2 linked regions of the Oryza sativa Japonica Group genome follow. Each later gene encodes a partner of the first gene's protein in a complex. Links are inferred from orthologs where the notes say so. Each region holds a gene or a part of one and is shown on either strand. Other genes may lie near its edges.

Region 1 (5,311 bases):
AATTCAAATGCCCCACGAGCAAAACCTCTAGCGATCTGCATTAATTATGTTTTTAACAAGTTTCAAAAGCAAACGACAACACGGTTAAAGAGTCATGATGACATGCAAATGAAAAAGTACAAATAGCATACCTTCAACAAAATCCACACTTTAAGAGAGCTGCTGAGGAGCCCTAGTTTTGTTTTCTTGCCTGATGTCAAGTACGTGCACATCTCATGGTCAACCCTAAGAACAAATCTGGGCCATGATTTTGGTTTCTCAGGGTCTGATTTATGTCCAGAGGCAGCCTGATCCATTAGACAAGGTTAAGAGGAACATTTTGTTTTTAATAACAAATAAGTTAAACACTGATTATACTATTTATAGCATGGAGTTCTAGCTTCTGGTTGTCTACATGGAGATATAGTAACATTTGGAATAAAAGACTTCATACCAATATCAACAAAGTCATATTCGGAACCAATATCAGCATGAAAGAATACAAGCAAGCTGTTTCAGTTTAACAGATTGTTACTGCTGCTTGAATTTTGTCTAGATTATCAGCTGCATACTGGTCAGTGCATTCCTTTAAACAGTACTACATCCCTCCTCTATGTTGTTATTGACAATTAGTGTTCGAGTGTTAAATTAATATATACTACCAAAGATTTTATATGATGAAAGTATTGAACCAAAATCTAGAACTATACGGTCAAATCTCAGAAAGTTCAATAGCAAGGATTTGAGGATGTCAACTAAAAAATAATTGAGAGATTGGTAAGTGGTAAGTTTGTAGGACTTACAAGGCGTCGACAGATTTCACGCTCTATCTTCGAAAAAGAAGTATCAAGAGCTTCCACACGGCCAATACCATGGCAACAAGGACACGGCTCACTGATCATGAACGTAACACTTGGTCGAACCTACAAATTTCAGTCAAGATTATAGACAGTTAAAATATCAATTAATTGATGGGTATCTATATTCTCGTAAAGTTGAATTCTCCATAGTGGACAACTACACACATCTGAAGAAGTGCCCACATACCCTTTTTCTAGTTATCTCCATCAAACCCAGCTTTGACAATTCTGAAACACCAACTGTTGATCGGTCCTTTTCTACTGCTTTCTTCATTTCTTCAAAAACTAGTTTTTTGTTTGCTGGAGCAAAATGCTACATTAGACCAAGAATGAAAAGAAGGGAGAGAGAGGGGGAAAAGGAAAACAACAATGTGGAATACAAATACAACGCCACAAGGAAAACATCATGATCAGACATAGCTCAGTCAGAATCTAAAATCACAATGAAACAACAAACAATCATTAGTATCATCTAGGAGTATAACAGAGTATGAAGGACGCACAACTGGTGGAAATGCCACTGTGGTAGTGGTACCTGTCGCAGTATGAATTAATAACAGTAGGAAATTAAAAACTCAAGAAATTTTCAATCAAATCCAAGAAGACTCAATATATAAGCTTAATTTGATGGCACATAAATTCAAAACAAAATATTCCCAAATCATGGAAAGAATATCCAGATAAGAAACAAAATATTCCTATTGTGAAGATATTATAATTGTATCTTAAGTTGTGATATGCTGGCTGAATCTTACAAAGGTATGATGTATGTTTGAGTACAGAATGTAGAGTCCAGTACAAGGGTTACATAATAAAGTGAGATTTCAGGTCAATAAACATCACCACATGTTAGGTGCATGACAATATGCCAAGGCACAAGTTAAAAAGTTGTATTCAAATGACAAATTTTAGCAAATACTTAATTAAACACCAGGCAGCAGAAAAGATACCCATGTACGATATAAATTCCTATGAGAATAAAAAATCAACAAGTTTTTTAGAAAAACAAACAAGCTAGCTGCAAGCATAATGGAGCATACGGCATGATGAAATGCAGGTATGAGGAAAACCATTTCACACTATAATTAATTCTACAAGTTGATATCTTACTATCATCGGTCATATCAATAAAATCCACAACAATAATGCCGCCGATATCCCTCAAGCGCAATTCACGAGCAATCTGCATTCAAGAAATTTTGCATCATATTCAAGTTTGAAATTCTAATAAATGCATTTCCCCACTCGAATTCGATGTCATCTATGAATGAGTCACTGTTAGCCTATGGCTCTATCAAAATCCTGTTATTTCATCCTGCTTGTTTGTGAGTCATGGATGGGGTAAGGGTCTGAAGACTTTCCCTAAGATACTGCTAGAGTACCACGTGTAACAGTACAACGCCCAAAAAATTGAAGAAAGTAATGACTGACACCAACATTGATCTATCATTCCACAAAAAATTGATTATAATCTTGTTCCGTAGACGGAGAAGCATCCTTTTTTTTCGTTATGCAAAACAAATTTTTGTTTGAATTTTGTTTCATGACAAATCAATTTTCTGTCAATGCTTCAAACATTTCAGAACCATTTCAACATAATTTAAAGAGGATGAACCACGATGTACCACCAGATATTTTACCATCTTTCTCAAGGTGCCTATTGAGTGACAGCAGGATTCTTTTACATTATTACCATAGCTCATCCGACATGTCTGAGTAGCTCACTCATTTGGGCATTTTGCCTAGCGATTTGGTAACCAACATGCATCATCAATATAATATTAGCAAATAGCTACATGTGTGAGTAGCTCACTCAATAGAGTATTTTGCCTAGCAATTTAATAACCAATATATAATCATGAACGAGAAAATGAACTAGTATCATGAATGTAAATGTGTTTATGAGCATGTGATTTCCCGGGATTAATATAGGCTAGTAGAAGACTGATCTATAGCTAACTGAGTGACGTTAGTAGACAGCAGGGACCCAAAAATAAAGATCAGAATGGCTCTGGCTTTACATCTCCAGGGAAGGGATTGCGGTCAGTAGGAATTGGATTCTGCTGGCTTCCTGCCACAAACTATGGGATTATGGATCATACTGTGAACAGGGGTGAGGAATATAGAACAGGAGATGAGATAACTAGCGTCTATTCCTTTCTTAATCCATAATGGATATGCTGAAGCCCATATGAAAGGACGGCTATAACTTTAGCCTAACAAATCAAATGTTCAAGTGAAAAGAACTTAATCATAAATTGTTGTATCAGATGTTAAGGAGCTATCTCACTAACTGCTTACACCTAGAAAGCTGCTACGCAGCTTCAGAATCTGTGCGTGAACTGATGGCCCCACATAGCAGCTTGTCGTTCTAGATACTATACATGTTTTTTTTTTCTTTTTTTTTCTGGTAGACTTTTGGTGAAAGACAAATAGAAGTACTGCCAAGTGCATCTCTTAGGAATTAAAGCATAGTCAGCTGAAAGGTAAATGAGTAAGACATACAGTAAAACGTCAAAATAAAAGGTGGATTGGATTCTAGATAAGTAAAGAAAAATAAGGTTTGAAAGCAAATATACTACTTTCCAGTACGAAACAGAACATGGGACATACTTGTTTTGCAGCTTCTAGGTTTACTTCTAGTATAGCCTTCTCCTGGGACGTCCCCTGACCAAACATACTATGACCACCATTTACATCAATTGAAACCAGAGCTTCGGTCTGCTCTATAACTAAAGAACCGCCATTATGTAGTGGAACCCTGCAATAAAAGAGCACTAACATATCATACTACAGAAATTGTATCATTTATACCTTTAACAGAAATGTAAGTTAATAGTGTGTCGTTCATAAGCTTTTTTTTTCATCGGGCTATAAATCTAGGCCCACGTCTGACACATCATGCCAGGCTTGCTCAATTTTACCAGGTCAGGCTACCATGAACAGGTCTAGGCTAAGCCTAATCACCATTAGCGCAACTGCCAGCCACAAGCTCATGTTGAACATGGCACTCGTTATCAGTAGAGCAGTCTTATTTCTGACAGCTCCCTTGCTTGTCAAATGGTGATATGCAATTTGTAGTCTAGGAAAAAACCAGGTCCAGGTAAACCAAAATTACTTATCAAAGTAATCTATATTACAAGATGTGTTTTTGTTCTATGCTAAATGGTTGATAAACATTACAAAGCAAGCAAAAGAATATGTAGCAATGAAGCTATTTAAGAAACAAATGCAACAAAAAAAGTATACCTTTTGCACAGAATATTGTCAATCTCCTTTTCTATTTTATATTCATCAAATATAGGAGTTCTTTTTTCGTAAAGATCAACTCGATTGCAGAGCTCAGGTGCAACTTCTTGGAGATAGTTTGTGACCTAAATATGCATAAGCAAAAAAAAAAGAGTTATAAGCCTGAAAAATGTAATTCCTAACCAGAAAGTCCAATAGCATACAACAGTAGACAGTAGGTAGGCCAGGAACGTTCTATAGACATAAGGAAAAACTAGTGTGCAAACAAGCATGCGCAACTATCATTACTTAATCAATCAACATACACGCCTGAAAAAATATTAGTCATTTTGGAGACAGGTTTCCAAGTGGCTAACTGCTTTGAACAGCAGGACTAACTGACATATAGAGATTGGCCTTTGGTCCATAGAACACACAGCATAGAATCATGGGAAGGGAAAATGAATCACAGGAAATGGATACAAAGCTTAGACTAAAATTGGATTAGATTTAAGGTTTCTCACCTCATGGTAGGTGCGAGGAGAATCCACAACTAGCCTCTTGACCTAAGTGAAGAATGGCAGTAATTCAAGAATACAGTAAAGCATTTGAAAACAAATCAAGCAAAGAAAAGTATGCTATTGATTTTGCTATCTTCAAATAGTATCACCTTCTCATTGAAATCATCTTGAACAACAGATAGAGCCTGACCCTTTGACCTATGCAACATTACGGGAACAGCACCTTCTACACCCTCCTCAGCTGCTAAGGCAGCAGATTGAGCATGCTCAATTATTCCTTTCCAGGTAGATAATAAGCGATCAAGATCCTTCTGCAACTCCTCCCAAGAATGGCCAGCAGCAACAGTACGAGCTGTCAGAGTAAATCCAGGAGGTCGTAATAATTTGGTAATGCCTTTTAATCGGGTGCGCTCTATCCCAGTAATTTTTTTCGATACTCCAACTTTGTTACCGCGGGAAACCAGTATCTGCAAATTTGAAATGGAAGGGTAAGTTACAACTTACAAAGTTAACATGAACATCCTTTTTTTACTTGACCATCAATGCAGAATGCTACAAACCTCTTTTTTCATGGTAATTTTTTGCAGAAAGTTATGAATCATTAGCAAATAATGACATTGAATAGATAGGTGACTGAAGTACATATATATAAGCATACATTCTCTGCAGACAGCATCATTTATCACCAAAAGATTTACATGGTGCATAAACTGAAGTGCTTGT
Region 2 (6,096 bases), on another chromosome or scaffold:
TCATGAGATTCATCAATAATTGGAACACTTGGGATTTGCAAAGATGGCTCATCATATTCTCCACTGGGTTCATCAGTATCAGAAGCATCAGGTTCATCATCTGAAATATGATCAAGGTCATCCAAAGATAGGTTTTCTGGTTCTATTACAGAATTAGGTTCGAATGTAGAAACCGAGTCTGGTTCATCTGTAGCAGCCTTATTTTCCAAAGTTGGCTTAGCCTCTTGTACGGCATCATTGATGTTATTGATGACTCGTTCGGCATCAACATTGGTAACAGGCTGGAACTTTACATTAGGAACAGGGGATCTTCGCCTAAAATTTGAAGCTGGCCTTTTGAAGGCTGCAGGATGTGGCTTTTTCTGTTCTTCCTGAGTGTCATTCTTTATGAAGATGCTTGAATTTTGTTTATTTCCAGATTCATTGCTTCTCTTTGTTTGGTCAACACTCTGTTCTTTCTCATCACCGCTCTTCCTTCGTTGGTCCACTGAGTGCTTCCTAAGCAGATTTAGAAGGGAGTCAACACTGCCCCTCTCACCCTGTGCTTTTGCTTGTTCAGGCTTCTTCTCCTCCTTCCCTTTTCCCCTTGCTCGCAATTGTGCTTGAACCCTTTTAAACAACTCTACTATCTCCTTCTCTCTTTCCCCTGGGACTGATGTTGCTTGAGGACGGGAATTGCTTGTCAAAGAGATGGGTGGTCCATTTTTGGAGGACATAATATCAGTATCGAATTCATCAATATTCTCAGAGTCATCTTTCTCCTGGTAAGGCTTACTTTTCCTCCGAGCTGATCCACCCTTCTGATGGCGTGTGATATCCGAACTTCTTGACCTATGGTTGTTGGGATTAGCACTGCATACCAAAGACAACTTCATTGGGCGCAGCATAGGCAGTTTACTCAGGAAACAAGCTCCAAGAAGAAATCTGTTGTCTCCATGATAGGCTGGTAATGTTCTGCCTGAAACCCAAGAAACAATAGCATAGTAATGAATAAGGACGAAAACTAAATGTTTCAGATTGAAGGGTTCGCAGTACACAAGATATATAGATACATAGAAGTTGGACATACAGATGGCCATGGCACAACTTTCTTTTTCCACTTCACCCCATTCCCATAATGCGAAAACAAGTGTACATAAAGTGCATAAAATTTTTAAAAAAATCATAGTGCCATAAGCAGTTCCTTCTTTCTATATTTGTTTATCAGTGGCAGTTTCATGTTGAGTCAGCAGTGTTCACATACATGACCTGCTATGATCATTCACACGTAATTAACTTCTAAAAAATGAAATGAAAAAGGATGTGTTTGTATGTTAAAATAACGAATAGTTCTCTTTTACGAAAAGGTTGCATTACCAAAACATATAAATATCATGTGGAGCCCAGCTTGTCGGTTACAATTAACTAAAAGGAAAAATATAAGCCGCTACAGATCAGAGCATACAATCATACACATCTGACCCATATGGGTAAGATTTGGATAAAATGTATGGGCCATTTAATGTAGACCTGCTATGTGCCTTAACAATTTAATCCTATCTGGATGAATGCAGGGCAGAGGAAGCTGTAATAGGGAAATCAAGAAAGCAATTTAGGGAAGAAGAAGCCATTCAATTTCAGCTGGTCTGTTTCATGTCCATGTGAAGGTTCATTACAATTTCAGCCCATTAATCAAGCGCATTACTCTGGTAAAACATACCATGCCCACTCATATAATGTTTGCTCTCAGCATTACTTGCACTAGCAGTTAGCCTTCTATCACGCTGCCAGTGAGGCTGTGAGTTTTAGCCACAAGTTCCATTGTGCTTTGAGTTCTTAAACATGATAGCAAAAAGAGAGGAAAATAAAGGCTGGAAGTCTACCTACCTAACTAGAAGTAGATTTGAAACATTTTTTCAATACAATGCATCCTGGAAGATAGAGGTAGATGAAAACCTTGATCAAGAAGAATGGGGCTAAGGAAACTTGCAAGAACAGTACCAACCGATCATCTAATTAAGTTCAAACAGGTTTTCAATGCACAAAAACACATCCATATGTCTGTTTTCAAAGTACAAAGAGTTAATGATTGATGATTTAGAATCTCCACAGATATACTTCTTTAACTCTAACCACTGATATATAAAGTTCTATTAAGATGGTGATGTGAAATTGATACCATTAGTTTCACATAAAAGGTGAGTTATTCACATAGTCTTTTATTATTGGGGACCCCACCCATCTCCAAACCATCATGTTTACAAATGGAGGTACCAACATTACAGAGGCAGTATATATTATAGTACATAACAGATAACCAACGGCTGGTGTTTTCAAGCTGCTATGGAAAAGAACATATCTAGCCTTGGCTTAGTGGACCCTAATAGAGTGAAATTCTATTCATGTGTTATTCAATAGATTTCACTTATCATTCTTCTACCTCAAGATGTCACCGTCTGATCTCTCCCGGAGGAATATTCACTATCCTGATGCACTAGCATTTCCTATTCATGACAAAATGGAACTAGACATCAACAAGAGGTCTAGTAGCCTATACTACCTACCTCATTTATCATTGTGTATATAGTGCTTCCAGACATATAGCACTAAAAATGCTGATAAGCATGTAATTTGACACCAAATTAACCATGAAAGTAATATGCGGACAGCAAGAATTCCTTTAGCTAAGACAGTTTTAAATTTCCAGTTTTTCCCAAGCTGCTCTACGGCTTGTGAGGATGCATCATCCTACAGTGATTTCTTACCACACTTAGGGCTAGAAGTTTGGATCGCGTGATATTTAAAGGAAATGACAGGAAACAGAATAATTCATTTGGTTTTAAAGCCTTTTTCACTGTTCTAACCATATACGTTCTCCAAGCTGTGCCAGCAAGCAGCCTTTGGAAACCTGGGTAAAATGGCACACTCATAAACAGTGTATGAATCATTAATAACTTGCTAAAGAAACTAAACTTAATAACTCTATATTTCATTCTTACAATGTATCATCATATTTACACCAGCAGTGCGTGCGAGCCAGATTTTTTGAAAGAAAATGCGAGCCAGATTTCATAGAGAACGATAGTTAGTTTTCCTTAAAAGAGCTAAGAGACAATGCGCCACACACAATAAAGCAGTGGCGGATCTGACATGGGACATAGGGGTTAAGTTGAACCCCACCCCCCCCCCCCCAACCCCAAACTTTTTTCGGAACAAACATTTGTTAGTATTAAGGTTAAGGCAAATTTCTACTACAACGAAGCTAGGGTTAACGCAAATTCGAGAAAAAAAATTGCGTGGGTGGAGAGAGGGAGATGAGACAAGAGGATGTGCGTCGTAAGGGATGCGGCGGAAGCAGCAGGACAAGCGACGGCGACCCCGCTCGCTCGCTCGAGCGATGGATGGATGGGAATCGGCGCAGGCGGCGGTGGCGGAGGATGTGCTCACCTGGATGCGGCGGAAGCAGCATGACGAACGACGGCGCCGACGGCGCCCTGCTCGCTCGCGCCTCGCGGGATGGATGGGGATCGGCGGCGGCGGCGGCGGGCGAACTAACGGATAACTCACGAAAACAATACGTCAAAAACGGCGAGGGTAATTTAGTAATTTCGCCAAGCACTCTCAATCTGCATATCCTATCCCCCTCCAAAACGGTGCAAATCTGAAAAAAGAAAGTATCCATAGCTTAATTCTATTTTCCAAACGGAACATATAGGACACCTTTGGGATGGTAGATTTTTATTTTATTTTATTATTCGGAATTGCATGATTTTATTTATTACTCCCTCTGTTTCTAAATATTATTAATTTTTTTCATATTATTTGATTCATTGTTAAATATACTTATATGTATACATATAGTTTTACATATTTTACAGAAGTTTTTAATAAGACGAATAGTCAAACATGTGCTAAAAAGTTAACGGTGTCAAATATTTAGAAACGGAGGGAGTATATGATTGAGATGGTGGATAATAAATAATAAAGGCAATTACAAATTTGCCACTGGTTTAAATCATTAATTATTATTGCAACACTGCCACTAAAAAATTGTAAAAATACTACTAGAACTGTCTTTCGAGTAGCATCTTGCAAAATTAAAAAAATATGGACAAATTTTACAAATAACCCTAAATAATAATATGCATGTCTGGGTAGTGGGCACTGCCCGATTAGATATGGTTCACTGGACAGGCCGTGTCATGTCAGCCCACATGTTTTATCGAGTGTATTCTTCCGAAAATCACATCGTATAGTATCATATAGCTAGAAATGCGAAGTTAGGATATTGTCTGGTAAAGTTTGACTAAAATATGTTACGAGTATAATTAATAAAATGAGCTACTTTTGAGGAAAATAAAAAAAATAGTACTAGAAGCCATTAAAACACTCTGAAAATAGACAAATAGTACAGGCGTACAGCTAACCGACATGACAGTGATCAGCATAATGTTTATGAAAAAGTTTTGAAAATGGACGGTGCCATCTCCAGAACTTAGACATTTAAATTCTATTCTCGTGATATTTTATTTACTTTTCTAAATATTAAAACATACTACTACCAACTACTGCAATTTTCGCACCGTGTCGATATATACGCACACGTCCATCCACATCATGTACTATAACAACGCCGCGTGGATTCCGAGTAATTATTTTAAACTAGTAAAATCATAATATTGAAAATATTTTTTGACGATTGTACTGAAATAACTTTCATATATCAATAAATTATTCTTAGAGATAATGATAAACAAAGTAACCGGAATAAAATAAAATGCCACTTCATTTTCTGTTGTAGTCAAAACTCTAAATTAGACAATTTGGTGCTAAGTTCTCCCACATCATCGACTTAGCAAATTAATGGATGTCAGGAAACTAACTAGTCTACGGAGCTTAAGAGGCTCACTTCTTTTGATAATATCATCATATCCACGGCTCCTTTTTTTACTAAGTACCATATTACCGCATCTAAAACGACGGATATTATCATCAGCAAACTCTCTGAAAAATTGTCATGGTCTCAGCCTAATTAAGCCAAACATGCCTCTGTCGGCTATTCTATACTTGGCTCTCTTGAGTCTTGACCAAAAATAATTAGCGCGTGAAGACGTGCATCTATCGATCACCGTGTGCACGACCCCCAAATCCATCAACACAACCGCAACATCTGTTTCAACCTTGGTTTTCCAAATGATGATGGTGTGGTTTCTCATAAAAAAGATCAATCATTTAGTATTATATAACGTGATGCTTGATCATATGATGAGCTGGAAAGTAAACACCCACATATTACATAATTATTTTGTTCTGGTAGGAAACACGATACCCTAATATTATTTACATAACGACGCAAACGTGTAACTACGTAAAACCGCGGCAAAAACCGCTGAAACCACGTAGAAAACCACATTTCTCGCAGAAGATCCCATGTTAGGCTTTCCAGTCTAGTTTTCTTATTCTCTTTATCCAAAAATAAATTAATCTAGTTAGATGTGATAGATCACAATATTACAAATCTGGCGGATGTATGTCCAGATTTATAGTACTGGGATATATTATATTCCGTACTATATTAACTTATCATGCGAAGGAAGTACTAGAGCGTAGACAGTTAGACTCCCCATCCTCTCACTCTGATCAACAACCTCTTTCCCTCTTTCCCCCTTAGATGAACACAATTTCAGCAGTACTAATCTCACTATGGTCATCCATGTGTCATGGACCAATGCACACACAAAAGGCACAAAATGGTTTATAGTCAACAGATAAAGGATGTGTTTAGTTCGTGTGCTAAAATTTTTTTAAGTATAGGGACACACATTTAAAGTATTAAACGTAGACTAATAACAAAACAAAATACAAATTTCGCCTGTAATGTGCGAGACGAATTTATTAAGCCTAATTAATCCGTTATTTAGCAAATGTTTACTATAGCATCACATTGTTAAATTATGGTGTAATTAGGCTCAAAAGATGCGTCTCGCGATTTACATGCAAATTGTGCAATTGGGTTTTTTTTTCGTTCACATTTAATGCTCCATGCATGTGTCCAAGTATTTGATGTGACGGAGAAGTTAGAAGTTTGAAGAAAAAATTTTGAATCTAAAGACGGCC

The links. The genes of interacting proteins can lie anywhere in the genome.
Region 2: ribonuclease E/G-like protein, chloroplastic (region 1) and SAP-like protein BP-73 share a complex: the UniProt entries of both Arabidopsis thaliana proteins name them as parts of the chloroplastic degradosome-like complex. The link is inferred for Oryza sativa Japonica Group from reciprocal best matches to the Arabidopsis thaliana genes RNEE/G and RHON1.

Annotation. Positions count from the first base shown.
Region 1 is NC_089042.1:14,235,727-14,241,037, forward strand, and holds part of ribonuclease E/G-like protein, chloroplastic, read right to left. Parts: intron 5,056-5,311; coding exon 4,738-5,055; intron 4,634-4,737; coding exon 4,592-4,633; intron 4,214-4,591; coding exon 4,089-4,213; intron 3,601-4,088; coding exon 3,453-3,600; intron 2,023-3,452; coding exon 1,950-2,022; intron 1,140-1,949; coding exon 1,027-1,139; intron 903-1,026; coding exon 783-902; intron 288-782; coding exon 132-287; intron 36-131; coding exon 1-35. UniProt on the Arabidopsis thaliana protein: Involved in intercistronic processing of primary transcripts from chloroplast operons. The endonucleolytic activity of the enzyme depends on the number of phosphates at the 5' end, is inhibited by structured RNA, and preferentially cleaves A/U-rich sequences.
Region 2 is NC_089037.1:4,370,328-4,376,423, forward strand, and holds the start of SAP-like protein BP-73, read right to left. Parts: upstream 3,545-6,096; 5' UTR 3,449-3,544; coding exon 3,427-3,448; intron 959-3,426; coding exon 1-958. UniProt on the Arabidopsis thaliana protein: Binds to and supports processing of specific plastid RNAs. Associates via its C-terminal Rho-N domain to single stranded regions of 16S and 23S rRNAs or to rbcL mRNAs. May be involved in targeting transcripts to RNases such as RNE or RNase J.